Linked DNA regions of Notamacropus eugenii. The protein of the gene in region 1 interacts with the protein of each later gene in a biochemical or structural test. Links are inferred from orthologs where the notes say so. Each region holds a gene or a part of one and is shown on either strand. Other genes may lie near its edges.

Region 1 (8,084 bases):
ATAGGTACAATATAGGTACAATGTTCTCTGGACTTTAAACTAAGCTGAGCTTAGAGCTTAAGATGGAAAATGAAGAGTTACCTAGACAATTCTGAAAGTTCAGAACCCTCTATAAAGAAACACTGTGGGAAGTTCACTGCTTTAACCTCCAGCCCTCCAGTCAGAGGGAGGACGCAAATGAGGAAGTGAAGACGGTGGTGAATCTCAAAAACCTGAGTCATCTGCATGCTGATGAAGTGATCAGATTATCCAGGGGATAGAGGATAGGGATGGGGTGCCATTGGGTTTGGGAAGAGAGGAAAAAGCTTGCAACAGTAGCTGTGGCGAATGAGACAGGGAGTCAATAATGGAGAGCAGAAGGAATATTGAGTAGCAGTAAAGGTTTAACTGAGGTTATGAACCATACATTTGTAGTGGATGGAATCAGCTCAGTTTTATCACTTTCTCCAGCAATGCTCAGCAGCTTAGACGAAGTGGAAAAATCACATGACAGGAATTATCCAGAGACGAGAATTTGCAGGTCCAGAATGAGGGAAGGTTTGGAGGCAAAAGATTCTAGGGTAAGTGGTAACTTGTGAATCATTAAAGTGGCAGGTAAGGGGGCATGAAGGAAAGTAAAGACAGAGTGGGAAAGATGGAAAACAGGGTCAAGTGACCAAGGGTCATAACAAGGGTGAAGAGCTGATTTTGTGAATTGAAGGAGTGGGAGAGATACAAAGAGAGGTTAAAAGTTTCAAATCTTGGAGGTAGTAATAATAATTCTGAGAGATGGTGAGTGTATGCCTAAAGGAGGATGAAGAAGAAAACTATTGTAGTTGGGGAGGCTGAGTCATTATTTGGTCTTGTTGTCAGAGCAGTCTTTTCCTTAAACATTGAAGTATGTGAGGGTAATGGCAAAGGGGTGGGGTGGAGAGGAATACTATGAACATAATGCTTGTCACTGAGGAAAGTTGGAAGAATACACTGAAGGATCCATTCTTCACAGATGTTAGACATTTATCAACATATAAAAGTAAATCCTTTTAATACTTGAAAGAGGAAATACTTAATATTTAATTAATACTTAAATTAAATACTTACTTAATACTTAAAAGAGGAAAGGTCAGGGAGAGAAGATTGGTAGATAGATATGTAGAAGTTCAAGTGAAAAGGATCACGGGCACTGTTCCTACCAGTTCTAAGAGTTTGGAGAATGGAGAGGTTTAGAGGGATGTGCTGTCCTTAGGAGAGAGTCGATTTTAAGTTAAAATGAAGAGATAGAAAAATGTTGGTTGTCAAATTCAAGGATATACTGCAATTTATTGAATTTTGAGTGTGGTGTAGTGAGATTAGTTCTGAAGATGGTAGGTAGACAAGTGAGGTAATATAATTGAAAAAGCTTTGGAAACTCTAAATCACTATGCAAATTTAAAGTATCATTATTAGGCTCAGACCTGGAATTTTCCTTCCCCATGGAGAACTATTATTCTCTTTCTCCCTCTCCCCACCCCCCAGTTCAGTTTTGTTCCCTTTTATCTTGTTTTAATACTGAAGTGCCATTTTCCTCCATCTTAATACTTGTAACACACAAAGGCAGTCTTCATCTTGACTTCAAATACTTGTATAAGGCCCTGTCTACCCAGTCCTGAAACAATCATTCAATTTGCTTAATTCAGTCAAGTAATGGGTTAGATCAGTCAAAGTGGATAGTTTCATGCACTGGAGACTTTGTAATAAGTTTCCAATGGTCCCTGCTCCCTTAGATCACCAGTCATTGGTTTTTGTGGGTTCTTGATCCTCATTTGATTTCCTGGTCTTTTGGAATACACACACATGTACGTATGTACGTATGTATGTATGTATATACATACATATATACACACACATCCAGACACATACATATGAAACATAAATATATACAAGAACCATATATATGAAAGAAAAATCATAATTAAATTTTCTTCCCTGCAGTCATTCTAAAATTCTGCAATATTGAATTTGAATATTTAATCGCATTAGTCACTTAATTTTAAATTTTAATTTCTTATCATGTGTAGCAGTCATTTATTAGGGCTTTAGCAGTGCGGGAGGAGATATTTGCCTTCCTCATTGTCAGGCAAGATGGATTTTTATAGATCCCTTTTGTCTATGACTTAAAAAAGGCAGTAGGGAACAAGTGGAGCATGGGGCTGGTAGATCCGAGAATCTGAGAACTTGTCTGATTTTCTTCCTGACTTGTCATATATGGGGAGTGAGCAGGTTCCAGCCCCTAAAAACATTGAGATGATGTTTGTCACCTTGTAGAACCCTTTGTACAATTCTGCACCTGTGGGAGATTCCAGTGGTAGTATGGCAGTGAAATCTCTTGACATCCCAGGATGAACACATTAAAACAGAGAAATCTTCATGAAATAAAGCTTCAGTGAAAAAGGAAGATCCCAGGACACATATTACCCTTAAAACATCAGATTCCAGTAAGCAAGGAAGGAGTAGTTTCACTTCTTGAGCTGCTGGATCATCCAAAACTCGAAATTCACAGGAAGTCCTACCCTGTTATCAGTAGAGTATCAGGACAAAGTAGCCAAGCAACATCAAAACAGTGTCAATCAAAACTAGAGAAACAAGAAATGGGAAGAAATTTTGCTGGAATGAACGTTTATTCTGCTGTTTATTTTTTGTTTCATTGTTTACATTATTCAGTCACACATAATTTTGCATACTTAAAGAGCTAAGCTGTCATTAATTCTTTGTTTTTCGGGGAGAGGGAAAGAAGAGAGAGAGAGAGAGAGAGAGAGAGAGAGAGAGAGAGAGAGAGAGAGAGAGAGAGAGACAGAGACAGAGAGACAGAGAGAGACAGAGAGAGAGAGAGACAGAGAGATTGAGAGAGACAGAGAGAGAGACAGAGAGAGAGACAGAGAGAGAAAGAGACAGAGAGAGAGAGAGACAGAGACAGAGACAGAGAGAGACAGAGAGAGAGAGAGACAGAGACAGAGACAGAGAGACAGAGAGAGAGAGAGAGAGAGACAGAGAGATTGAGAGAGACAGAGAGAGAGACAGAGAGAGAGACAGAGAGAGAGAGACAGAGAGAGACAGAGACAGAGAGAGAGAGAGAGAGAGAGACAGAGACAGAGACAGAGAGAGACAGAGACAGAGAGAGAGAGAGAGAGAGAGAGAGAGAGAGAGAGAGAGAGAGAGAGAGAGAGAGAGAGAGACGAGGGGAGGGGGGAGACAGAAAAACAGACAGAGACACAGAGAGTGAGACAGAGAGACAGATAGAGAGAGAGACGGAGAGAGACAGAGAGAGATTTCCTAACATGTTCAAACGGCTGGCATGATTTCCAAACCAGAGGGGAAGCTGGTAAAAAAAAACACCAAAAACAATGAATCTCAGGGGCATGAAAAGTTACAAACGTTGCCTGTGAAACTCTCGGAAACTTCAGCAGTTTCATTTCTCGGCTCAGGATTTCATTTCAATCAGAAGTAACTTTGTGGAAGATTCCCCTCCCACCCTGCCGGTGGGGAATGAATTACAAATTTGGCCCCCCTTCAGCCCCACCCCACGATTCCAGTCGAAGTTTTCCAAGGATGGCCTAAAGGTGGAGGTGGTGTGAGGTGGTTTGTAATTCAATGGCATTTTTGAAACTAGGATCTTTTTTTTAAAAAGTATTTTTTGTAACGCTGCCCTCCAGGACAAAAACGCCCCTGTTCCTCGCGGCCATCGGGGGAGCGCCGCGCCGGTGGCAGACTGGCGGGGTTGCTGGGAGTGGTGTTTGCTTTGCAAGCCTGTCCACTGGGTTTGGAGGCTGGAATTCGTGGGATTTCCAGGAGTGTGTGGAACTAGCTGTATCTGTGTCTGGTGGGCAGAGAACCGAGAGCGAAAGCCGCCATATTTCTGCCTTACCACGCCCGGGAGGCTAAGCCCTGGCAAAGGCAGGTTCGCGGCCGCAGCTGCCGGTGCTGGATTCACACAGCCCACCGAGGGCGGGCGGCAGCGGGCGCGGCGGCAGGCGGTGGCCTCGGCAGCCCGAGCCTCAGCCTCCGGCCCTCCTGCCGGCTCCTCCCCCTCCTCTCAGCCGGGGCCAGCGGGCACAGCCCCGACAACCGGCAGAGGAGGCAGCAGGATCAGCACACGGAGAACCCCACGGGGAAGGGGTCGGGGAGGTGACGAGAAGTGGAAGAATCCCCGGCACAGAGACCCGGGAGGAGGCGAGCGACACCACCTCCTCCAGCCTCCAGTTTCACTACCATCCCCACCGCCGGCACCTCCTTCTCCTTCTCCTCCTCCTCCTCCTCCTCCTCTCCCCCGCGGGCGCCGCTGCTGCCGCTTCCCTCCCGGATCTGGGCTCCAGTTGAGAGAAGAAAATGTGTGTGTGTGGCGAGGGGGAGGGAGAAAGCTGATCAGCCACTCACCAGGGCCGGGGGGTGGGCATCTGGCGGAGAGCAGAGGAGGAGGGGGAGGGGAGGGGGAGGAGGGAGGGGAGGAGGGCCAGGAGGAAGAAGGGGGGTGTGTGTGGAAGTGTGTGAGTGTGTTTGCGCGCGAGCCCGGGGTGGGTGGGAAAGGGATCCCGGCGGGTGTCATCTCGGATCCAGGGGGGCGCAGGGGGAGTGGTGTCAGGCGGGGCAGGGGAGAAGGGTGCGCTCGGTGTCTGTGCCATCGCGGCTGCTGCTGCTGCTGCCCCTGCTGCCGCTGCTCCTGCTGCTGCTGCTGCTGCTTCTGCCGCCGCCGCCGCAGCCGCGAAGCTGCTCTGGTGGATGTTTCTGTGTGGCTCGGTGCATGATTTAGAAGAGGAGGAGGAGTTGGATCTAGCTAGTGACAGAGGCAGGAGGCAGAGGGGGTGGGGGGTGGGGGGAGGTGGTGGTGTTCTGTGAGAGAGGCCGGGGGAGCGGGCCTTTCCCCCTCTCTCCTCCTCGCACCTCCCGAACCTCCCTTCCACCCGCTGGTGCGTTCGGGCCCCGCCGCCGGGATCGGGCTTCGCCGGGCGTGCGGTGGGCGGCTTCGGGAGTCTCCCACCTTCCCCTCCCCTTCCCACCCTGCCTTACCCCGGACCCCCCTCCCACCCCCAGTCCCTCTTCCCACCCCCAGCCCAGGGGTTAGCTGCCGCCGCGGCCCGCGGCGGGGAGTGAGGAAGGAGCGCGCGCGCGCGTGTGTTTTCTGGGGGTACTGGGGGGTTGTGTCTGAAGCAGTTAGGAAGAATGACTCTGGAGTCCATCATGGCGTGCTGCCTGAGCGAAGAAGCCAAAGAAGCCCGGCGGATTAACGATGAGATCGAGAGGCAGCTCCGCCGGGACAAGCGGGACGCACGCCGGGAGCTGAAGCTGCTGCTGTTGGGTAAGTGGGAGAGCCGCCTCCCCTCGCTCCCCGCCGACTTCCCTTCCTTTGCCCCAGCCACCGCGGCTCCCTCCGCCTGCCCTCTCCTCCGCCTGCTTCCACCCTCGGGGCAGCTGCCCTCCGCACCCCCAGCCGCTGATGTGCTCCCCCAGCACCCCTCCCCCAGCACCCGACACATACACACATACACACAGCACACCACCACGCGCGCGCACACACACACGCACACATACACACACGCACACACACACACACGCACACGCACATACACGCACGCGCGCACGGTGCCCTTATGGAGTGGATCTTTCTGTATGCCTGCCCTACGCCCCCCAAGTCCCCCTTCCCCCGTCTTCACAGCTATCGTGGTGTATGTGCCCGGGTATATGCACACCCAAGGGCTATGCATAGTGTATGCGTGTGTATCAGATGTGGACACAGTGCAAATGAAAGTCGTATCATGGCAAGAGGGGGCAGGGCATGTGGATTTGGGGGTGAGGGAGGGGGAGTGAGAAATAGGGATTCAACTCCCAGTATCTTTGCCTGAGCTCTGTGGGAGCGTGCTATTTCCGTTAGGATAATTGGAGTCGGGAAATTGTGTTCGCGCACATATATCGCATCTACCGTGGATCATGTTCTATGTAGATCCCTATATATACATTTATGTACAAACATATTATCTATGTACAATAGATACTACAGGTCTGTGCTTCCCTGGGTGCTTGTATTAGGAATGCATTTTGGGGTGTAGGGAGGCTGAAACAGTGGGCTTCAGAAGGAGGTTCGATGTGGTGACATGGAGGAAGGGGATGGTGGTGGTGGCTCTCGGAAGCTAGGGCAAAGGAGGCTTAAAGTGAGATGTGAAAAAGAGGCGGCAAATGTTGTAAAAGAACTGAAATTCTTTTGCAACCTGGCGACTAGAGCAAGAGCGAGAGAAGATGAGAGCTTCTTGATGAAGGTTGGGGGGCAGGCTTCATTAGCTAGCTTCCCCGTCCTTCCAAAGGAAAGAGACTTGGGGTCCGAGGTGTTGGGGTTTGTGGTGGTGAGAGTGGTAGAGGTTGTTGATGTGATGGAAGCTTTTGGTTTCATGTGGCTTATCAGCCACATGAAGGACTCTCTTTAGAACAGGTCCTAACTGGAATCAAGAATCCAGTCCTCAGCTACTCTGTGGAGCAGAATAGTGACCTATTGTGTGTTGGAAAAATGACAGTGATTTAACACCTCTGGAACTGGCCCATTTGGGCCAGAAATAAAACGGGCAGAGTATAGGACAGTTTCCCATTCACCAGGGGGAAGAAGTGAACCTTCCAATTCTGCTCTGTTAAGGGGATTGCAAAAAAAATGTCCTTTCTCAGATAGGAATCTGTAGTGATGCTTTCTTTGGACAGTGTTTTAAGCATTTTAAAAATCAAGAGATTAGTTTTCACATGCAGTACAGTGTGACACAATTCTTAATTACTGTGACAGGAACAGTATAGGGCTTTGGAATAATAGGCCTGAAAAATGTCTGCCATAGTGTTATGGATACTTGTGTGTGTTGGAAATCCATTACATAAAATTTTGTGTTGGACAAAGATTACTGTTATTAAAGAGTCTAAGAAACACATATCATCTTATCTTGAACATTCCATCTTCTTTTGCAAAGAGCTATTCTGTTGTTGAAGCCCTATTGTTTATGTGCTGGATCAATTAAAGAGGAGGAACAAAATAGAATAGTGGCAGAAAGATACAAATGGTTAGTTATACATGTTGTAAAGAAGCAAGCAGAACACGTGATTCACTTTGGAACACGGTTAGACAGATTTGCACATGCTTAGTTTAAAGAGAATGGAAGGCAGAGGGACTGAAGGATAAAATGTGGGCTTTAAGGTAATAGAATGAGGGATGCAGAAACCAAGACTTCATGATAAAGACTGATTCAAATTGAGGGCTACTTTTTTAAGGGCTGAAATTGAACCAACTGGATAGATGAGATATTCTCTACAATGAGGAAATGTGTCTCTTGTAGAGCTGCCTCATTAGAAAGCATAAATGTGTCATTTTAAACTTTTTCATTTCAAAATGTATTTTTTCACCTGACCTGCATTGTGCCTTGAGTTGTGTCTGTTTATGGTTTGAACAGCAGGTTCCAGGGTTTCTAGCCCTTACTCTAGATAGTGCAACAAATGTTTCAGTGGCTGGACTTTTCAGGACTTTCTTGAGAAGAGCAGAGGGCAGACCGTGTAATGGCCTCAGAAACTTGTCCCAGAAGGAAGATTTTAGTTACTTGTAACTATGTATTCTATTTATTTAAATAGGCCTGCTTTGTTTTTAAATGAAAGTTAGTGGTGGTTTTCTAGGAGAGGGGAAGGGGAAGAAAACAATTCACATCTACTGTACTTCTCTGGACTAGAGGGTCTGGGGAACATCTGCTGTGACTCCCCCACCCCTCTTTTCCATCCATAAGTTGAATAAGCTTATTAGAATTCCCTTCCACCTAATTAAAATCTCCCCCTCCCAATTAGCAATAGTGGTGTAACCTGAAATTAAAGTTTAGTCTTTAAAATCATGAAGATTTAAAAGTTACATAGATCACTGTAACACGACCCTATAAAGTAGAATTGTCAAGTGATTTTTAGCTTCATATATATCATACATGATTTGTGTAACATAAGCATCCTAAAATAGCTATCTTTACTGCTTTATACTACATGGTAAATGTCGATTTTTTTTCACGCAAACTGACAAACCAATCTATTATGAGATTATTATGATTTTCAGGCTAAATGTGAGTCTGTCT
Region 2 (7,439 bases), about 510 Mb from region 1:
TGGTATATTTATCACAGAGACCAAATTAGCAAAATGTATGGAGAAGGTGGTAAATAGAAAAACATTATACAAATGTTAGTTATTTTATTATATATTTGTATGGGATTCTATAGACTTATGACATACTGTCATATGTTATCTCATTTGACATAATAATAATTTCATTTTATGGATAAGGAAGCTGAGGCTACGAGAGAATTAATAATGGCCTGGGCCAAGACTAAAGCCCAGGCTTTTCAACCCCTAGCCCAGTATTTCTAGTTCAATTACTGCAAAACCTGTATTAAGAAGGATCCTCACCCTCTCTTTAGGTGGAAAAGATACAGGCTAAGGTCAGTAGTCCAGACTAAATGGAACACAAGGATGAGAAAACTAACTATCAAATACTTGACCACTTGTGATCTAGAAAACACTCATAAATTCACTCTGGATCCACACAGGGAATTCTGTTCTGTTCCAGGGCAGGTGAGTTCTCCACTGAAGAAATAAGAATGAGACCCAGAATGGAATGGAATGTCACCCAGTGAACTAAAGAAGAGGTAGAGTTAGAAACCAAGACCTCTGATAAAAACTGGAAAGGCATGTGTGTGCTCGCTGGGCAAGGTTTTAAAATTCGTACATCCTCTGTGTTGCTGTCCACTACAAGATTTCGGACTTCCTAGTAAAATACAGTGAACCACAGAGATCAGAATTTTCTGACCTCAGAATATGTGCACTTATAAAGAGTAACATTTTTAAATGCCCTGAATTGCAGCCCCTCTACTTGTTGAGGTCTAAGTAGTTAAGTACCCTACTTACCCTTAGTCTCAATTTTGTTATGGTTGACTAGTTTACTTTTCTTTCTACTCTATCCTAGTTTATTTCTGTGGTAGCATGCAAATCAAATAAGAAAGCAATGAGGTTTTGCATAAAGTATATGGTTATGAGAAAAACAAGGTAAAGGAATTCAAAGCTTACACTAAGACATCTTATCTTAGGCTGTTACGCCTCTGTTACAGGTGTCTCCTTTGTATTGCTCTGTAGTTCTGATTACACTGATTCTCTATCAAGTGGGACTGAATATGAACAAAAATCTCTATAGGAAATAAGTTTTATTGATGGACTTATTGACCCAGACAAAATATCTACTGGATTCTTTGAACATACTGATTATATTCTAAATTATTTATGCACCCCAACCCCTAAAAAAAAGTCCTGTTCCATCAGGATAGGGTTGTTGAAAAGATATACAGTTTTTATTCTTTGCCTGTTGCCTCTGATAATTGACAAGGAAACGGTTAAATCTTGTACCTTCTCTATTCATACTTCCAACTTTACAAAATATAGAAACAAATATACTGGGTTAAGTAACTGGATTTTCTACCTGGACCATCTAAATTATTTTCACATGGAAGAAAAATGACATAAGATTATTAAAAGGGAAACATTCTGAAGGATAATAGTCTGTAATTTGCTGAGTGGAAAACATTCTCAACAAGAAGGGTACCCAACTGTCCTATAATTACTCCTGATTAAGAGGTGCCTCAATCATTTGGACTTAAATCTCCCTCAACCCTGGAAGTCTCATGTTTATCACAATGAATAATTCATACCAATAAATTCTGAATGAAATCAAGGATGTAGTATTAATAAAAATTAATTCCCTATTGTCAGTCCAAACTTATTCCCTCAATATTGTGTGTGTGTGTGTGTGTGTGTTTAATTTATGTCTCTTGAGGATGAATGTCATGTTCAGATTCAGATTCTTAGGAGAAAAACTCTCAGAGCCCTGTGGGGTCCTGAAATTATGACAATTCTCATCTATCCCTTGCCCTTCTGTCTCCGCTACCATGTTAGGCCCCCTGACACTGCAGGGTAAAACTTCACAGCAGGGTCTTTTCAAGCTATTGCCTTAAAAGCCTTGGAAGCTCTAGAAAATTAGCAGGCAGCACCTGCAAAGCTATTGACTCTTCCCCCTTGTCAATCCACAAAATGCCACTTTATGCTCCCTCTCTACCGTTAGCCTTTACCCTGGAGCCCCTACTTTGAAGAAGACAGAGACTTAAGTTTGGGAGCAAACAACCTGTGGTGTGAGCCCATACCGTCTGGTGTCAGATCACTTAAATAAGGTACAATGCAGCAGCTTGCCACTCTTGAATTAATAACTCAGAGCACCAAATGGTCATTTTTCTGGAGGAATGATGGAGGACTTGGGAGTTGTGCATTTGTAGGAGGAAAAAGAAGCTTCCTTCTCCCAATGCACATTAAGGACACTTGTCTACCCGTCAGAAGTACCACCCACGTTACTTTTCGAATTATAATGACCTGTCAAGGCAACATAAGCCTTGCCATAGATATTAGCGTAATGATTTTTAAAAATCCTCTTCTCCTTGCTTTCCGCTCTTAAGGATGTAAAATACTGAACGCTGACAGACACACACGCACACTGCCCTTTCACTGCCTGTGCAGTTTCCAACATGTGTACTTTCTGGCACCCTTATCGATCCACTATGCCCATTGCATAACGCGTGTGCTTCCTCCCACCTTCCCCACCCCCACTCCCACCCCCTCCCCCGCCAAGGGAGGCCACTTACATCATCCCATTTGACAAATTTGATGCCTTTCTTCAGGTTGTCCGAGACACTGACAGGTTTGAGTTGCAAGGCGTGAACTCCTGGCTGTGCCCCGGCCATCTACACACATGGAGGCTTGCCAGCGGAGGAGAAAAGACAATCCGAGAAGGGGAGAGAAGTGGGGAGACGGGGAGGGGGCGGGCCTGGGGTCTGCACTGGCTCGGGAAGCGGGGGGCTCTTCTGGCTTTCCCCCGACCCCTCTCTCCTTCCTCCCCTCCGTTCACCGCGGGGAAGGTGGCTCAGCGCAGGAGTGCGGGGCAGGAGAGGAAGCGGTCCATGCCCTCCGTGGAAAGTGGTGTCGGGCGCCCGTCGGGGAGCAGCGGCAGATGCCCAGGAGACCCGGCGAGCGAGCACGGGCGAGCGAGGGACGAAGCTGGTACCGAGGCTTGGCCGGCGGACCTGGAGGGACGGGGCGCGGGGGAGCCCGCTGGAGCCGTAGCGGCCGCCGCTGCTCCCGCTGCCGCCCGCTCGGGCTCGACTGGGGCTCAGGATCTGCTCCTCCTCCGCTGCCTCCTCCGCGCCCGCCGCGGGTCTGAAGAGCACCATTCAGCACATCCTATATACACAGAGGGAGTGGAGCGAGCGAGTGACACACGCTCCTGGCGTCCCCCTCCCACCCTACTTCCCTCCCCTCCCTCCACACTCGCTGGCTCCGTCCCTCCTTTCCCTTGCCTTTCCCGGAGCCCAACTTTCTCCGCTGGGTCAGGCGAATGGAAGGCAGCAGGGGCGCAGCGGCACCTCCCGGTCTCAGGACACTGCTACAACGAGACACTTTCTCCTTGGGAGAGGCTCAGTGAGCATGCCCGGTTACCTTTCAGGGGCTGGAGGCTTGGATGTGAGGGTTGCATTTCTCTGGGCTCGGTGAAAAACTGAGCAAGGAGAGGAGAGGAAACGGGGAGACAGGCTGAGGGGGAAATGGGACGGAGAAAGAGGGATGTAGGTTTTTGGTGGAGACCATCCTGTACCCCCAAATGAGAATATCGTAGTGCTGAAGCCCGCAACACAATGGACAGTTGTTACTGGCGGAGGAGATAGTAAGCAGCCTGGAGACATGAATTGGATACATCTCCTGAGGCTCATCTGCACCCCTGGACACCTCATCCTTAGCTTTGTGTCCGAGTACACTTCTTACACTAGTATTTAGCACAAGAGAAAGTGGCAAATTGTATTTGCAGGAAGATAAAAGGACAGTCCTGAAAAAACTGGTTGCAATACTTGTACATAAATGTCATCTTCCAAGCAAGGGAATGTTTTTTGTTTGTGGTCTTGTGGTTGCTATTTAATAAAGAAAAGAACAGAAGGAAATTTAAGCAATGTGAAAACAAAAAACTATCAAATAAAATTGTATTTTTAAAAGAAAATTTTAAAACTGTTGTATAGGGGGAAAATTCTTCTCTCCAGACTTCAGATTGTGTTTCCTGTAACGCTGGAACTATTCTGTTGATAAAATGTTAATTTTCTTAGAGTACTACAGAGGAAAAAAGTGCTGAATTTGGAAGTTTAAGTCCTGAGTTCTAATGTGGCTCTATACTTTAGTTCCTGTGTGACTTTAAGCAAGTCAGTTAACCCTTCAGTTTCCTCAGTTTAGTCTTGGACTAAATAACCTGCCAACTCAAAATCTGTTACGCAATTTAGGAACAAAAATGCCTTAATTTTTAAATTTGTTTTTTTTTAATTTCTCCTAGAATCTTTGTTCCTTGCTATACTTGGAAAAGTACACCCTACCACTTTTCAAACCGTCCTTATCATAATAAACCCAGACATAAGCACCTCATAAAGATAATGGAAATTCATTCTTATATTTTAATTTTGCAAAGTACTTTCCTCACAACAGTCCTTCATTTAGTTGTCAGAAATGCGAGGAAAGATAAAGAAACAACCTCAGAGAAGTGAATTATCTTAGCTAAGTGTCAAAAAGGGGCTTTGAATCCCAGCACTCTTGAGTCTAAGTCCAGACAATGTCCACTTATCCCATACTATATAAAGTTGTTTCTTTTCTGTTATCTGATGTCAAAAAATCTTTTTAGAGATCAGCCTTCTGTATAGAACTTTCCTTAATTATGAGTGTTTTTATTTTTCCTGGTCTGGACCTATTATTTCTTTGGAACTGAGAACTCCTAGTGAGAAAAGTCCCTTTCCCAAATGTAGATTACTAAGGGTGAACTGGGAGGCTAAATTATCTGCCCAGGATCACACAGTCAGTACCTAGTAGAAAAAGACAACTCTAGGCAGGACCCAAGTCTTCTAGACTACAAAACTACTTCTCTGTCATGCTGCCTCTCCAACTGTGATTCTGACTTTCTGAAAAAACAAACAAAAATCCACCAAAAAAAGAGACTAAAATAAAAACACTTCTGCTCAAGGTTCAGTTCTATTTGTCAATTCAACTAATTAACGAATAGCCTATTTAAACGCAACAATAGAAAAAACCCCACCTTTTCCCCATCTTTTCTGTTCCAGACACAAAGTGTGTAGTAAGGAGTCAATGTGATGTTCCAAAAGAAGTGCTAGATTTAGAGTCTGGTGAAACTGGGTTTCAAGTCTTGGTCTCTAAAATTTACTATGTGACCATGAACAAGTCATTTGATGACCTCTGTGACACTTTTTAAATATGTAAAGTGGTAATAATAATTAATATGTATTATATATGTATATATATTATATATGTAATAATAATGTAATACTTATCTCACCAAGTTGCTTAAAAGATCAAATACAATAATGTATAAATAAAGTAATGTAAAAGTGATGTATATGTAAAAGTGATGTGTAAATGTCAAAACTGATAGGATGTACTTCCCCTAGCAGCATGTCTATTTATGAATCACTGGACAAGGAACTCACATGTAGAGTGCCAAGAGTTTAGCTAATGGTTGTAAATAGTATAAAAATTGGAAGCAGCTAGGTGGCATTAGTGCATATAGAAAAGAGTCAGGAAGACCTAAGTTCAAATCCTCCCTACTTATTAGCTGTGGGACAGTAGGCAAGTCATTTAACCTGTTTCCTCATCTGTAAAAGGAGAATCTGCTTCCCAGAGTTGTTGTAAGGATCAAACGGGATGGCATATACAAAGTGCTTGCAATCCTTAAAGACTTATATAAGTGTCAGGTTATTATTGTTGTTATTAAGCTGACTCTTAGCCCTTCGGCATTGTGACCTTCTCCACCCCACCTCCGGAAAGGGTAGGGGGTTGGGAGGAGCAAGAGGGAAATGCTTTTCCTGCACCATGGTATGGAAATGACCTTGGGTTCCTGAGGGCTATGACAGCTTTGTAAATGTCAGCTATTGTTAGAAAATGAGAAGCTTTCTCTAAGGTTTTTACAATTTTGCCCCTCCCATCCCTCATCCTTACTCACTTTATAAATTAAGTTCAGTTCACTTGTTCAACTCAATGATCCCTCTCTTCGATTTCTGCTTCCTTTCAATCCTAAAAAAACAAAAAGAGCTACTGTGCCCCCAAATACCCTCAGGTGAATAAGGTTTTTCCCTTATTTGAGAAAAGGGAATGTGTTGAAGGAATAAGGAGATATTTTTAATGAAACCCACATTGTTGTAGCTTTCAGAACAGGAGATAAGAAGATCAGAAATGAACTTGAGATTACATGAATGAAAGATTTGACTTAATTTTTATTTTGCAATCACTACACAGCCTTTAAGAGCTATAAGTACTTGAAGGATGATAGAGCTATGGGAATTTGAACTTTTGTTTGAGTTTAACACCATCACTAAAACAAAAGCATGATTTAGTTATTGAATTTCCCTTGACCTGCAAGTAAGATTGGATTTTCTTTTACCTAAAAAAATGTTGTAGTGTGGGAGGGTTACAGGATAAAAAGGTTTAAAATGTAGTGGATAAAGTTATATACAAACTAGGTCTCTTAAACCAGCCTCTTCTCATTTTGCCACCCATTTGGAGATTACATTGGAGAGAAAAATATGCAATTTGGGGTAAAGTTTTGAAACATCTAAGAACAAAATAAATGACATGGTGCCCCAAGTCAACAATGCATCTTGTACAATGTTCTATTTAATTTTTAACAAATGGTACAAAGACATCTTGGGAAGGAAAGGGGGAAATTTTTATGATGGTCTCAATGGGCAAGGAAGGTACTCTATAAAACATTCCTAGATTCCCTCATTAACCTCATCAGCTATTATTAATTTCATTATCATTTCTTTGCAGATGACTCACAGATCTTCATACATATCTAGCCCCAGTCTCTCTCTCAAGTTAACAGTTGCACACTGACCACCTCTACCTGGATGGCCTATAGGCATCTCAAACTCAACATCCCCCCAAAATAAACCCATCATCCCCACACACAAAAACATGCATATGATTTATTATTTATTTATTTGTCTAGATATTTCAAAAAATCTATTCAAAATTATGAAGCATAGTATGATACCTTTAATGATCCCACTGTACTTAGGAATTAAGAAGCATGGGTTTGACTCCAAACTCCAAGTGTTGCTGTGTGAACATAGGCAATTTAATTAACCTCATCTATAAAAAGGGAGATAATAACTGTATCATATACTATACAGCATTGTTGTGAGAAGTGTTTTATGTAACTCAAAGCTTTACTTTTCTTTCCCTGCTGCCTACAAACATGCTTGTCTTCCCCATTCTTAAAAAAAAAAACAAGAAAAACCATATCTCTAAATTGCATCATTCCTGTTACCTATTATCCTATATCTCTTCTTTCAGTCAAATTCCTTGAAAGAGTTATCTATACTTGCTGCCTCCACTCTTTTATCACTCATTCCTCAGGCCTATACAGTCTGGCTTGTATCCTCATCACTCAGCTGAAATTAGTCTCTCCA
Region 3 (8,051 bases), on another chromosome or scaffold:
CTAGTGCATTCTGGGTCCTCTGGGGTCCCCACCCGAAGAACTCCAAGTGCTGTGGGCTCCCCCAGCTTCCTCCTTCCCCAGCGTGGCAATTTCTGAACTTGCTGGGCCCCATCTTGTCCGTGCTCTCTGGGTAGCACCACGCACGCAGTAAGCCCCAGTTCCTGTTTTCAGAAATCTGATCACCAGAGTCAGAAAAGAAAGGGGCCCCCAAGGAAGGGCCTTTATGAGCAGCAGGCAAATTCCCCTCTCCTGTCCCCCACACTCAGTCAATCTGAAACCCAGTGACTGGAGATGCCCTGAGAGCAAAGGAGAGCGGGTACCACGGGCCAGCCTGGGGGGCTCACTGCTCAGCACTGGCCGACTCTGGCACCCACAACTCTCACTTTGACCCAGCCAGCCCGCTCAAGGGTCCAGGAAAACATAGTCACACCCAGAGTGAGCTCATGCCTCGGAATCCTGACCCAGACACACTCCATGTGCATGCAGGCTGTCCCCCTCCAGGGAACCTGCTGGCCCTGGCACCCCATTATCTGGGATGGGCTCTCAAAGCACCAGGCCAAGCTCTCAGTTTACAAACGACAGAAAGGACCTGCCACCCCTTGGGTAACCCGTGTCCCAGCTGCTACATGGAATTATCAGGCCATAGCTGTCCCACTGTAAACATGGTCCAGGAGGGAGGGCAAGGCAGACCTCAGGCCCTTCTAGGTACCTCAGGGGAGCCAGGCCAGAGGAGGAATATGGGAAGGCCTGACGTCATGGGTGTTTCTCCCAAGTGTAACGAACAGATGGCATCTGGGTCCACGCTATGCATTTATACACTCCCTGCTGGCACCCAAGTGGAAGGGGCTCTCCCTCCAGCTGTCTGGGGGCTGAGGGAGACGACAATGCTGTTTACCATTGGCCATATCCCATCCCCTACAGATTCCCCTTGGCTTTCACCTCTGGTTGAAAGACAGACTCAAAATCCTCAAAATCAACTTCCAAGGTGGAAAGTACCCTAGAGAGGCCACTAAACATGTGTCTTCTCCCCTTAATGTCATCCCTCAGCAAAAGTACTGGCTGAAATTCCATCTCTGGCCAAAGGTTAGTGGGGAAGGGAGAGGCAGGAATTAGGAGAAAGTCCTAGTCAAAGATGTGAGTGGTATTTTTGAGGAGGGTAGGAGAAGCATAGGAAGACAGGGGGAAACTGGACAGGTTCAGGGCCAGGCCAACAGAAAACTGTCTCCAGATGAGAATGGAAACTCCCTGAAGGCAGGAACTGGTTTTATCTTTTGTCTTTGTATCGCTAACGTTTATCTCAGTGCCAAACCAGAGTAAGAACTTATTACTGATAGTAAAAGGGGAGAGAGTATGTTACAGAGAGGGGTCTAAGGAGGAGAAATCACAGTCGTAGTAGAAGAGAAAAAAGGTGATAAGCAGACAGAGTAAGCATGGGGGTGGGGTGTTGGAGGTGAGAGGGAGAGGATGAGAGGAAAGGAGAAGATTGGAGGGGCAGGTGGGGGGTTAGGTGAGTCTATGGGATGAAATAAGGGCCTGAAAATTGGTAAGGGTTGCTAGGCAATGAGAAGTTTGAAATGGACACGGGGGAGGTGTGAGGAGTAAAGATGAGGCCTCAGAGCCGGCATGAGTTGGGGATACCCTGTGGGCAGCGCAGAATGGACAGTATGGGGAGGAGGGGTGGGAGGGATGGCAGGCATGAAGAAGAAAGGACTGCTGGAGAGCAGGAGGAGACAAGTGTCCGGCCGAGGCCACTGGGGTGCCCAGGGTGACAGTCAGGGATGGAAGGAGAGGGGGAGCTCTGAGGGCTGTCCCACGTTTAGTGTCAGGGTTAGTCTTAAGCTTAGGGGCTGGGACCAAGTTTAGGTTCAGTTTCAGGCTGGGGAAGTTTCAGGGTCATTTTCTGGCAGGGTCAGTTTCGGAGTCGGTTTCAGGGTGGGTTTGAGGGTCAGTTTCAGGGTAGATTTCAGGGTCAGTTTCAGGGTGGGTTTCAGGGTCAGTTTCAGGGTGGGTTTCAGGGTCAGTTTCAGGGTGGGTTTGAGGGTCAGTTTCAGGGTGGGTTTCAGGGTCAGTTTCAGGGTGGGTTTGAGGGTCAGTTTCAGGGTAGATTTCAGGGTCAGTTTCAGGGTGGGTTTCAGGGTCAGTTTCAGGGTGGGTTTCAGGGTCAGTTTCAGGGTAGATTTCAGGGTCAGTTTCAGGGTGGGTTTGAGGGTCAGTTTCAGGGTAGATTTCAGGGTCAGTTTCAGGGTGGGTTTCAGGGTCAGTTTCGGGGTGGGGGGCTCGGGGTCGGTTTCCGGGGGGGCTTCGGGGCCTCTCACCTGGGCTCGGGCAGCAGGATCTTCTTGCTGGCCCGCGCCGCCGGCGTGGCCTTGCTCTTCTCCATGGCCATCAGGTAGCTCACGTCGGCCAGCACGGCCTCCAGGTCCGCCATCTTGTAGCCCCCTTCGCCGCCCTGGCCGCCTTGGCCGCCGCTGCCCTGGCGCTCCTGGACCTCCACGCCCCGCACGGCGAGGCCCTCCGCCCGCCGCGGCCCGGCCCGGCCTCCCCGGCCCCGGCCTCGGCCCCGGCCCCGGCCCCGGCCTACACGCGGCGGCGCCGCCCCATGACGCCCGCGCCCGCTGCTCCGCCTCCTCCGGCTCCCGCTCCGGCCCCGCCGCGGCCCCGGCCCCTGCCCCGCTCCGGCTCCGGCCCCCGGCCCCGCCTGCGCAGCCGAGCACCACCCGCCCGTCAGGCCCGGCCGCCGCAGCAGCCACGGGGCGAGGGGGGGCGGCGACTGGGGGGGGGCCCCGATCCGCGCCAAGTACAAGGAGCGCACCGACGAGGAGCTGCGCCCCCTGCCGGCCGAGGTCGTGCGCCGCCGCGGCCCCCCGCTGGGCGCCGCCGCGCCCCCTGCCGGCGGGGTCCGCGGCGTCCGCCCTGGGGCGGCTGTGGAGGGGCGGGGGCGCGCAGAGCCAGAGCTGCGCCCCCTACCTAAAGAGATAGGTCTGACTCGCATCGCCCGCTGCAGACTAAGCCCCGCCCCCAGCCCTCCGCCCCCCACAGCGCCCCCTACAGTGCCTCGATCCCTCCCCCCAGTCCCCTCTTAGGGTAAACCCCGCCCCCAGAACGCCTCTTCTTCCGCGCCCCGGCCCCGCCCACGTAGGCTCGTCCAATGATGCCCGGGGTGGAGGGGTGTCGTCAGAGTGCCTCCTTGTGCAGATATGACCCCCACCTGCCAGGGGCTGCCCACCAGACCCCGCCCCCTCCCAGGGAACCCTCCCCCCACTCCTCCCGCACCTCGACACCTCCCCCTAGGGCCGCACTACCCAGTGTCCACCTGCCCCTAACCGGGTCAGTCAGCTTGTACCCCCTGCCCCCCATGACTCCCCCCATTCTGACTTCGAATCTCCGAGACCTTGGCCCTGGCTGTCTGAGCCTTGTCACTGGAACTTAGCCCTGCCTGGCACATAGTAGGCGCTTCTTAGACGTTCCTTGGCAATGGACGGCCTCCCCTCCCCACCCCGACTGCCTCCCTGGCCCAGGAACCCCCCATCTTGCCCTGGCCCTCCATGCCGTGCCCTGGGGCTCCAGGCCCACTGGCTCCCCCCACCTCCCTGGCCCCAGACCTGCCCGTTTCAGTCCCACAAACCTGAACTCAAGTCCCTCTGTGCTAGGAATGGGAAATACTTGGAGGAGGAGGGTAGCCTGGCCTCGATGAGCCTCCGTCCTCTTAGGGAGGGCGGGCCGCCCGCACAGGCCAGCACGCTGCACAGAGGGACTGAGGGGACAAGGGGGGGCCGGTATCCCTGTCCTTAGTCACCCTGCCGGACAACCGCTGATGAGTGTTTAGAGGCAGTCTAAAAACCTGGGCATCTTGGCACCCTCTGCCCCCAATCAATCACCTACTGTGTGCCAGGCACTAGGCTAAGCACTGGGGGATTCACAGAAAGGCAGAAGACCGAAGCTCATTGGGGAGGGGAGACGGATAACCAAGTATAAACCAGACTCGGACGGGATAAACCGGAAATAGTCATAATGGACTGAGGACCCCCGAGGGAGCCACCGCCGGCCTTTTTCAGCCTGTCAGACCTCGGAGAGCTCACGGGGAGGTTATCTTAAGCTAACACCTTCCAGAGTCACCACCACACAACGATCCTGACAATGCATCCTGTAAAATGGGCCTCACCTGCCTTGAAGGATTGTTGGGAGGACAGAATGACATATTTAGCCCAGTGCCTGGTACATAGGAGGTGCTTAATACATGCCTATTCCCTTCTTTTCCCTTTCCCTGACATCAAGCCTAAATCTGACTTCTCCACTTCCACTTATGAGTCCTGCTTCTGCCTCCAGGAGCCAAGGAGAACAAGCATACTCCTTCCTCCCCAAGACAGGCCTTCAAGACAACCAGCCATCAGTAAACTAGAATGTAAGCCCTTGCCCTTTGAGAACCCAGGATGTTTCATTTGCTAGTTTTGCATCCTGGGACCTAGTCCAGGGTGGGAGAAACTTAAATACTTGTTCATTCAACTATTACGAGACACCAGGAATACAAAGGCAGAAATAAAGACTCTCTCCCCTCAGGGAGCTTCTATTAGATCAGGAAAGATGATACAAAATAACTAGGAAGTAGATTTTCTCAGCTGGAGGTGGGGTTGGGGGTGGGGAGGGGTGGTGGCTGGATCCAGGTAGGCTTGATGTAAAAGGTCTTGCTTGAACTGAACTTTGAAGAAAACTTGAGATTCTGTGAAAGAGTCGAGAGGAGGAAGAACATTCCAGGCATGGAAGTCAGCCCATAGAAAGGAACAGGCAGGAGAGAGAATGTCCTTCATGAAAAATAGAAAGACAACGTATTTGTCCAGATTAAGAGTATGGAAAGGTAGGTTAAAATGAGTCTGTGAGGGGTTTTAAATATCAAACAGGAGTTTGAATTTGGTAATAAAAATACTCGGGATCCATTCATCAGCTCATCAACAAGCAGGCATGCTAAGTACCAGGGATACAAAAAGGCCTCCCATTAGTATAGTTTTACTGTTTTCTCCTGTAACTTATTTAACTTTTCCTTCAAAAATTTGGATCCTTCAAAAACCAAACCAAAAATTAAGAAAAAAATTGGATTCTTTGCTATTTAGTGCCTCTGTGTTCAGTATTATTATAATTCACTGTCTATGGTAACTTTTAGCAAAATACAATATCTTTGATTATCTCTTTAGATCTATTTAATTAGATTATTAGATATTGTCTATTATATATTATTAATATATATGGGATAGATTTAGATTCTCTAATTATCTACTTTTGCTTTTTCTTAGATCATGATTGTTAACGTTGCCTTTTTTTATTCAACCAAAGCATAGTAAAATTCTGCTGTAGCTTCTAATTTTAAATCTGTGTAAGTCTTTCTGTTTCAAGTGTGTTTTTTGTTAACAACAAACATATTGTTGGATTCTGGTTTCTAATCCATTCTCTTCCATTTAATGAGTGAACTCATCCTATTCACATTCACAGTTATAATTGCTAACTGTATATTTCACTCCATCCTATTTTCTTCTTTTTATTCTCTTTTTCCCCTCCCCCCTCATTAAAAGTCTGTTTTGTTTGAAGTCACTGCCTATCTTAATCCTATCCTCTTTCTTCTTACCCCCCCCCCCATTTCTCTTAGCCCCATCCACTCATACTTCCTTGTTGGTAAAATGAATTTCTATGCCCAACTGTGAGTGTATAAAAATAAACATATGTATATGTGTGTGTGTATGTATGTGTGTATATACACACATACACACACACACACACACACACACACACATCTCTCTCCCCAATCCTTTCCTCGCTCCCTCTCTTTGAACTAGATCAGATGAGAATGACATTCAACCACAGTCCATTCCCCCACTCCCATTTTCCCCTCCATTGTAAAAACTCTTTCTTGTATTCCTCTTTTATGTGAGATCATTTCTCCATTCTCCTCCCTCCCCCTTTCTCCCAGTTCATCCCTCTTTCTCACCTTTCTATTCTTCTTTTGAAGAGTAGACTCACATTTATACCCTCTGTCAAAGTAGACTCCTAACTGCCCTACTCATGATGAACTTCTTAGAGGTTACATATGTCACTCTCCCATATACGAATGTAAACAGTTCAACCTTGTTAAGTCCCTTGTGATTTTTCACTCATCTTTACCTTTTTATACTTCTCCTGAGTCTTCTGTTTGAATGTCAGATTTTCTGTTCAGGTCTTGCCTTTTTATTAGGAATGCTTGAAGGTACTCTATTTCATTAAATATCCCTTTTTTCAAACTCTGAAAGATTGTGTTAATCTTGGTTACAGTTCTAGCTCCTTTGTCCTCTGGAATATTATATTCCAATATTATATATATTCCAATATTATACTCCACTTCTTTAACATGGAAGCTGCTAAATCTTGTGTGAGCCTGACTGTGGCTTTGTGATATTTGAATTGTTTCTTTCTGGCTGCTTTCGGTATTTTCTCTTTGAACTGGGAGTCTTTGAATTTGGCTATAACATTCCTGACTTTTCATTTTGGGATTTTTTTCAAGAGGTTAACAGTGAATTCTTCAATTTCTATTTTGCCCTTTGTGATATCTGAACAGTTTCCCTTTATAACTCCTTCAGATATGATGTCTAGGCTCTCTCTCTCTCTCTCTCTCTCTCTCTCTCTCTCTCTCTCTCTCTCTTTCTCTCTGTGGATCATGGGCTTCATATGGGATCCAATACTTCCTAAGTAATCTCTCCTCAGTCTATTTTCTAAATCAGCTGTTTTTCCAATGAGATATCTCACACTTTTCTCCTTTTTTTTAATCTTTTGATTTTGTTTTATTCTTTCTGGATATCTTGTGGAGTCATTAACTGCCACTTGATTGATTTTGTTTTTAAGGAGTTATTTTCTTCAGTGATGTTTTATACTTCTTTTATTTCATTTGACCAATTCTGATTTTTAAGGAGTTATTTTTCTCAGCATTTTTTAAAATTTTATTTTATTTTTTAGTGTTCTACAATCACTACCATAAAACTTAGATTTTAACCCCTCCACACCTACCCCCCTCCTCCCCTCTCCCTCCCCAAGACAGCATACAATTCTATATAGGATCTACATATACTTTCCTATTGAATATGTTTTCACGATAGTCATGCTATGTAGACGAACTAAAATAAATGGAAGAAATCATATAACAAATCAAAACATAATACACACACACACACACACACACAAACATGATCTGCTACATTCTGCGAATGAATTCCATAGTTTTTTCTCTGAGTGTGGCAGGCATTTTGCCTTAGAAAACCATTGGGAATTTTTTTTTTAAAGGTTCTTGCGTTATTACAAAGTTCCAAGTCTACCAGAAAAAACTCTCACACACTATGGTTGTTGCTGTGCACAAAGTTCTCCTAGTTCTGCTCCTTTCGCTCAGCGTCAGGTCATATAAGTCCTTCCAGGCTTCCCTGAAGTCTTCTTGTTCATCATTTCTTATGGTGCAATAGTACTCCATTACATATACCATAATTTATTCAGCCATTCCCCAATTGATGGGCATCCCCTTGACTTCCAGTTTTTGGCAACTACAAAGAGTGCTGCTATAAATATTTTTGTACATGTGGGACCCTTTCCCATTTTTATGATCTCTTGGGGATACAGTCCTAGAAGCAATATTGCTGGGTCAAAGGGTATGCACATTTCCGTAGCCCTTTGGGCATAGTTCCAAATTGCTCTCCAGAATGATTGGATGAGCTCACAGCTCCACCAACAATGAATTAGTGTTCCAACTCTCCCACATCCTCTCCAACATTTATCATCTTCCTGTTCTGTCATGTTTGCCAGTATGATAGGTGTATTGTAGTATCTCAGAGTTGTTTTGATTTGCATCTCTCTAATCAAAAGTGATTTAGAGCATTTTTTCATATGACTATAGATATCTTTAATTTCTTCCTCTGAAAATTGCCTGTTCATATCCTTTGACCATTTTTCAATTGGGGAATGATTTTCTCAGTATTTTTGTGCCTCTTTTATCATGCTGTTAATTCCCTCTTATTAATTTTCTTTCATTGCTCTCATTTCTTTTCCCA
Region 4 (7,387 bases), on another chromosome or scaffold:
GGGGACTTTCATATGGAAATCAAGCATCAGTGCCTGAGGATCACATGGGTTTAAACTGCAAAGTTTATTTTCATTCCCTGGAAGAATAAACCTACCACCTCCAAATACAGGGATATGATCTGGATAATTATTACATATATTAATTTTTAATAGGAAAGCAAGCAGTCACTACAATTATGACAAAGTAACTGTGCAGAATTGGCTTCTTCATAGTGCCACCACCTACTGGAAGCCTTGAAATCACAGCCTACCTCCTGGCTGCCTGCAAACTCAGACACCACACTGCAGTGCTGACGAGTACAAAAAGGCAATGCAGCTATCAGGGAGGGAGGAAGGGAGGGGAGTCACTGGATGCTTCCTGCATCCTCAACAAGGCATTCATAGCTCAGTCTTTACTATGGGTTTCTGATACCAGGTGTGGAGGGAATTGTTGGACTCTAAGGGAGGGTGTTTGGTGCCAGTACAAGCAAGAGGGAGGGATGGAGAAGAAGAGAGATAAGGGATCGTTAAACTTCAAACAATAAAAATTTAAAAAGACTAGTTTTCTGGTCATATATGCCTGCTAGTGCTAAAGCTAGGATCCCCTTCTCTGCCCCTCCCACCACCATTTTATTGTTACTGAATATCTCATAAAGGAGATTAAAAACACATGCAAGATTGGGAAAAGGGGGGGAAGGACCGGGCTCAGGACTTAGGAAAAAGCAGCTGGTATAGTCATTAACACCAACAACCTGCTTTAATTAAAGCACGTTATCTATGACTGATGTGTAGCTAGGCTACACTTAAGTCCACAAGGAGGATTTTTTTAATCAACTTTCAGTTAAGTTCCCTAGCTAGCTTCCAGTTGATTGCTCTGGGTTAACAGTCCATTTATATGCAGGATCATTCTCCTAGACAGTAATTCAGCAATTCTCAAATCAAGAGAAGCATGACATTTTAGAGGTAGATGGGACAGAACAAATCTATGGCTTAGTAGAAAGTGTTCTGGGCAGGAAGGCAGATGTCTACAGGTACCAGCCCTCACTGTGTTACTCAAAAGCTGTGTGACCTTAGCCAAATGTCTTCATTTCTCTGAACCTCATATTTCTTCTGCTGTAAACTGAGAGGGTTGATGCTCTCCTAGTCAAACAAAGACTCTTATCTCACCTAGGAGGCAGAGTTCAGGTCCAATTTTTAATGGGAAGTCCAAAGCTGTTAGGAAAGTATACCTCCCTCCCCACACTGATGTATTTGATAGCTTTGTGGAGACTCAGCTTAGGCCCAGAAATGCTTGAGTGACTTGCTCTAGACCAGGGGAAGAAAGAATCACTAATCTATTCAAGGTTCAAAATAGAATCCAGACATGACTGCCCCCTTTCTAAGATCAGTTGTATCTTTCTGACTGTCCTTGGAAAGACAAGGGGAGGAGGCTGTCCTGGAATTGATGGCAAATTCTTTAGTAAGAACCAGAGGGATCTGGTAAAGTGGAATCCGTTATCAGTAAGAAATTAAAGTTTTTCTCTGATGCATGACCTTGCTCTGAATTTGCTTTAAAAACAACAACAACTGAAATTTATTCCACTTCAAGACAAGCATGGAAGGAAACATATTGTAACAGCAGCATTCATTTATTTATTCAAATGCTTTATGTGCTAGGGTGCCCTGGAGGCATTTCTCTGGTCCATTTTCTTAAGAGCTATATACATGTCAGCAGCTGAAATTGCCTTTAAGGTTAAATAACATGGAAGCATCTTTAAGATCTAATCCTCTGTGGATTCCTTTACAGAATGTCTACAGTGCAAACCTCCTCTCAATCACAGTGCACTCATATGGAGCCTTTCAAAATCTGGGAAGGAGGGAGGGAGGTTAGATTTGAAAACATGTTCTGTTTATATGAAAATGTAGCTTTATGTCTTAGCATACACCAACTTTGTGCACAACATCCCATCAGTTACTAAGGGTTGGGGGGGAGTGTGACAGGTTAATAAAAGTTAACCATGAGTTTCTAACAGACATCTTCAAAATAAGCAAAATGTCTTAAAGTGAGTTTTCTTTGACAAATGAACAGTAGCAAAGCATTTAAAAACTTTTAAGAGTACAGTTCAACACACTGTGGTTACTGACTGTTATGGCTAGACTGAGACCTGTGTGCTAATGTAGAAGAGCTGGGATGAGCTCCCTGCATTGGCTAGATTATCAGTTGTTAATTAAATCATAAGTTCTGGTAGTAAAACCAAGTGATTTCCAAAGGCACAGATGTGTCCCTATGCTATTTACTCCAAATATATGTTATAGAAAACATAAGACACCAAGTCACCAGGCTTTTGATGAATATCGGTTTTTAACACCCCTTTTGGTAAAGTATTTCCCTGATACTAGGAGTTCTTACAGCATAATATAGATCACAGAATGATAAAATTCATGAATGGGAATGGTAGAACTCAAAGAAATCCCAGAGATTATCCCACTCTAATTCTCCATTTTTTTTTTTTTTACAGAAGAATAAACTGAAACCCAGAGAAAAGGGGCTAATTTGTTCAAGGTCAAACAGCCAGGTAGAGCACTCTTTTCACTACACCATAGTATACTTTTTATAGCAACAATGTGATATGTCATTGGAGGAAAACTGTCTAGTCGATACTCATTGCCAGCATAAAAATGGATGCATTAAGAAAATTCACATACCAGGAATACTAACTAAACATCAGTCAAAGACAATGATACAGATTTCTATGCATTCAAGACAAAAATTTCACACTTCTGTCCTAGACTTCTAACGGAGAACCAGTTATAGAGCATATAGGTATTAGAAGTGAAGGAGAAAAAAAATTCTTTAAGTCACTATTCATATCTAGTCTTTGAGAAAATTCTAGGAACTTGGTGTTGCACTGACTGAATGCAAACACAGGATATCCTCAAAGTCTGCAGGGTTGAGCACCAAGCTGCACCAAGACTTTTGGGACACCTTGCACAAGTGGTGTCAGATTAATAGAGCACATCTGTCATAATCAGTGCATGAAAACAACCTTACCTCCTCAAGCAAGTGGCTGGCAGGGCAGCAAGTCCTTTGCACATCTTGGTTTCTTGCTTGTCTTCAAAGTGCAGATGAGAAACACGGCAGGAGCAGCTGTCGCCTCTGTTTGAGTCTTTTTTGTCTCAGACAGGATGCTGTCAGATTCCTCTGAGAGTCTTCCTTCTGAACCTGCCCGAGTTTCTTTTATAGTCCAGTCCAGCCCAGCCAGCCAATCAGATGGCAGCACTGTGGCACTGGTTCTCCTCCCCTCTGCCTCCTCCAACCCTTGGAAGAGAAATGAGGAAAAGACAGGCTGACGCATGAACAATGCCAAATGAATAAATGGGGGATAAAGAAAAGAGAAGAGAAAGAAAGAAAGCACACACAAGAGAAAAACTTTACCCCAATACCCAACCAGATATCTATTTCAAGATGTGTGGGCTTCCAGAAAAGAAATAAAACAAAGCTTTATGATTTTTTCAAAAGATGGGACTTTAGGAATTAAGAGTTCTGAAATGGGAATTAATTCTAGACTTGACTCTATCACTAGCTTTTGACACCTGAGAAGTCATTATCCCTTTCACAGCCTGGAGTCAATGAATAATCACCTGCAGTTCTCATCTGTAAAAGGATGAATCTGCACTAGATGATCTCTGAGCTCTGACATTCATTCTCTGTGTTTGCCTCTGGTTTGCAGAATGAAAGAAAGCTACCTCAAGGAACCTAAGGTGTTAGCAGGAATATGTGGGCTTATTTTGTGGATAATTCCTATCGCCTGTTCTCAGCAACCCTTCTAGGTAATACAGAAACCAATCATCACCCATTTCCAAATGAAAATCATCAGGATGCTCTAATTTCTCAGCAGAGATTTGCAAAAGTTGAACCAACACCTGGCATGTTGCAAAGGAGTGCACAGGGAAAAGGAACCTGGTAAGATGGTGATTAGCCTGACAGAATAGAGAACACATCTAGAAAATATGGATCAGCTACACCTATAATCAGCCTGCCAGCAAAATGTGTCCTTAGAAACCTTATAGGGCCAAAAAACAAAAATAAAAATATAGCAAAAAAAAAAAAAAAAAAAAGGCAAGCAGCCTCACCAACTCTCATTGAAATGTCTATTTCAGGATAGAATAGCTACTTGAAGACCAGAGGAGGAAGTGTGTGAACCAATATTAAAAAAAAAAAAATGTGTTTTTCTTTACAAAAACATCTGTATCTCCTACAATTCTGAACTTCAGCTCTATTATCTCAGAGGGGACGATTTGGATTTTTATCAACCAGCATCAAGCATCAGATGAAAACTGAAAAATTCAGCCATACCAATGCACACAGATAGCAGGATGTTTGCTATCATGAGTCTGAATCATCCAGATGATTAAGTAAATGTTTCACATATTCAAGTCATTTCAATTAAATGATCATTTCAATTAAACAATCAATTGTTAATCACCTTCTGTGGTTAAGATGTGTTTTCCTTTAGACATGATCTATGGGTTTCTCAGCAAATGTCAGAGATCAATTCAACTGAACCCTCATTTATCAAGCCCGGACTATGCTCAGCATGGTGTAGCATACAGAGAATTAGCCTTGGAGTCAGGAGGACCTGGGTTCAAAGACTACTTCCAACACTCACTGACTGGGTGACCCAGGACAAATCACTCGAACTTTCAGTGCTTTAAGCAGCTCTCTAAAACTGTGAGTAGCAAGGAAGGAGCTGATTTTTCATATGGGAATTCCCTGTGTTAAGGAACGCACAAGTCCAGTCCCAAATACAAGATAGATCATGTATTGGCAGGAATGAAATATTCAGAAGTAACCTTCCTACAAGGGATTGATGAGCATATAGCCAGTGTGCTGTGAGAAATGTGAAGAGGAAAAGATCATTGTAAACTGTTCAGTGACGGGGTGGGCAAACTGGGAGGATTAGGAAAGTCTTCATGGAGGAGGGGATACTAGATTGGTAGAACAAGCCATGGATTTCAAGAGACAGAGAATGAGGATATGGGGGAAGTGTCAATCACTCCTGGCTACAAAAGACCCATGACACTTCCAAACAAGTCTCAAAAACCAAATTGAAATGTCACTGGAAAATATTTAATGAAATAAAAAATAAAACAAAACCTAGATAATGTTACATTTGAAAGCTAAGTCAGTATGTCCACAAGGCTCCTCATTAATGGTTTGGTGGCTCTCATTTCTATTTGAAACGTTCGAAAACGGAGGCAAGGACCAGGTATGCTAGTCAAAGGCATATTCTTCAGGAACATCCGAAGAAGGCCAAAGAAACCATGTTTTGTTGTACCTGGCTACAGATGCTTCTATTTTCAAAGCTAATTGCAGAGACAAGGAGACATAAACAATGCAGCAACAAAAGCTGACCTTTCTGTAACATTTTCCATCCTACAAAGCGTTTGACTGCATCTCCTTTGGTCTTCAGGACACACCTGTGGAGGCACAACAATCCGCACTAGCCAGTTGTGGTAGAAAGCTGAACTAGCAAGTGTCCTAAAGGCGGAGTAGTAACAACGTTTGTCTGACACTGTTGACGGCTTGCATTTCCCTGCGGAATGCAAACATTTTCTTGTCAGGGATGGTTCTTTCTGCAGGGATTATAGTGGTGCTTTATAAACGCTTGTTGGATTTCATTGGATGTCGCATGCATAACCTTCTTTGCACCCTCAGGACAAATTAGTGAGGGAGGCAGTGCAGCTCCGGCCCATTTTTACAGAAGGACAAAACAGAGACTCAGGTAATACAAATGACTTACTCTAGGTCCCTTAGCTAATTAGATGAAGAGCCAGGTTGTAAAGCGCAGTCTTTTGTCTCCAAGTCCAGTCTTCTTTTCATATCTCCATCCTGCAGAGATAAATAATGTAATGTATATATAAAAATATATTCATATATAAATATTATTTGTTTTTTCGTTTATTTAAATTATTTAAATAAAGAGCCCATGGCCAGCAGAGGAGTGAATGATGGAACTGCATTAGGACTGAGCAGATTATGGATTAGATAACAAACAGTTGGCAGGAGAAAAGCTGGAAGAACTGAAGGGTCAAGAGCAAGCTTTCTGGAAAGTCAAACTTTAAATCCCCTTTAGCTGGAAGTGGTTTCCTTTACCTTTTTCTGTCAACAGATTTGTTAATTAAATAAGCTCAATGATGGAAAAATATCAGATAAATGAATTTCATTGTATAGTCCTAAGGGCATAGGGTCTATGCAATGAAATTCATTTATCCTCTATAAGGGCATGCAGAGGGTTGGACAGAAATGAAAAATGAACTAGCATTCCCAAGGAACATTTCAATCTATCAGTCATTTATGAAGCACCTACCATGTGCAGGTACTATGTAAAGATACTGAGAAAAAAAGACACAAATTAAAACAAGCCCTACCCTCAAAGGGATTAACATTCTTTGAGTCCAACACTTGCTCCACAATGTCATTTCAGGGATGCACCTCAATCCACTTGACTCACTGCCCTGATGCCAAAAAATTACCCAGTTAGAGCTTAATTTGTTTAAAAGTCTTAGCCAAAAAGGAATTTTGTTCCTTGTTCAAATAGAAATATCATGGGACAGATGTCACTGGGAATTTTAAGGTCATCTAGTCCATTGAAGAAATCAAGCTTAAGAAATTTGTCCAAGAACACACACCTAATTAGTGGCAAAGCCAGGGCTAGAAACAAGCTTCTGGAGCCCCATCCAGCCTAGTATTTTTCCTAGTATGTCTGGCTGCTACTTATTAAATCCTAGCAGGTGTCTACACTTACACGAGAATGATTTCCCTCTCCTCTCTACTGATAGATCTGTCGCCCTAGTTAATTTCCTCATCCTCATTACCTCTCACCTGTACTATGGCTGGTCTCCAAATTGGTTTCCCTGCCCCAAGTCTCTCCACACTCCATTCCATCCACCACAATCTATCAAAGTGATCTTCCTAAAGTGAATACCTGATGTCACCCCCCCAACCAATAAAGTCCAGTGATTCCCTATTACCTCTAGAATTAAATATAAAATCCTTTTCTGCTCAAAGGTAGTAGGTAGGGGGAGAAAGCATGGAGACAGGGAAGAGCCAAATTACATGGCTGTTGTTTACCGGAAAGAACAAAAGGCTGAGGATGACTTAGTCAAAGAATACTGCACTTTGAGGTAAAGGCATGTATCAAAGTCCCAAGTCCACCACTGACTATCTGAAAATAGTACTTGCCCTATCTGTAATGAGTGTTGATTAAGGCAACCTTTGATAAATTCAGTGATTTCTTATAATCTCTTCAAGCTGATTAGGGGGCCGTTGTATTCCTCCTTGGTTTTCAAAGAGGACCATGACATCAGAGAAATTATGACATAACTTGCACTTGACTTTGTTTTGAGAGAGAGAGGGCTGTGTAAG

The links.
Region 2: the proteins of guanine nucleotide-binding protein G(q) subunit alpha (region 1) and PLCB1 form a complex in vitro, tested with the Homo sapiens proteins (2 studies listed by BioGRID, with this or other methods). The link is inferred for Notamacropus eugenii from reciprocal best matches to the Homo sapiens genes GNAQ and PLCB1.
Region 3: the proteins of guanine nucleotide-binding protein G(q) subunit alpha (region 1) and GRK2 form a complex in vitro, tested with the Homo sapiens proteins (3 studies listed by BioGRID). The link is inferred for Notamacropus eugenii from reciprocal best matches to the Homo sapiens genes GNAQ and GRK2.
Region 4: the proteins of guanine nucleotide-binding protein G(q) subunit alpha (region 1) and RGS4 form a complex in vitro, tested with the Homo sapiens proteins (3 studies listed by BioGRID). The link is inferred for Notamacropus eugenii from reciprocal best matches to the Homo sapiens genes GNAQ and RGS4.

What each region holds. Positions count from the first base shown.
Region 1 is NC_092872.1:67,954,779-67,962,862, reverse strand, and holds the start of guanine nucleotide-binding protein G(q) subunit alpha, read left to right. Parts: upstream 1-4,883; 5' UTR 4,884-5,172; coding exon 5,173-5,308; intron 5,309-8,084.
Region 2 is NC_092872.1:580,611,912-580,619,350, reverse strand, and holds the start of PLCB1 (1-phosphatidylinositol 4,5-bisphosphate phosphodiesterase beta-1), read right to left. Parts: upstream 3,141-7,439; 5' UTR 2,673-3,140; coding exon 2,574-2,672; intron 1-2,573.
Region 3 is NC_092873.1:19,721,345-19,729,395, reverse strand, and holds the start of GRK2 (beta-adrenergic receptor kinase 1), read right to left. Parts: upstream 3,008-8,051; 5' UTR 2,993-3,007; coding exon 2,316-2,992; intron 1-2,315. UniProt on the Homo sapiens protein: Specifically phosphorylates the agonist-occupied form of the beta-adrenergic and closely related receptors, probably inducing a desensitization of them. Key regulator of LPAR1 signaling.
Region 4 is NC_092873.1:483,813,115-483,820,501, forward strand, and holds the start of RGS4 (regulator of G-protein signaling 4), read right to left. Parts: upstream 3,178-7,387; 5' UTR 3,055-3,177; coding exon 3,011-3,054; intron 1-3,010. UniProt on the Homo sapiens protein: Inhibits signal transduction by increasing the GTPase activity of G protein alpha subunits thereby driving them into their inactive GDP-bound form. Activity on G(z)-alpha is inhibited by phosphorylation of the G-protein.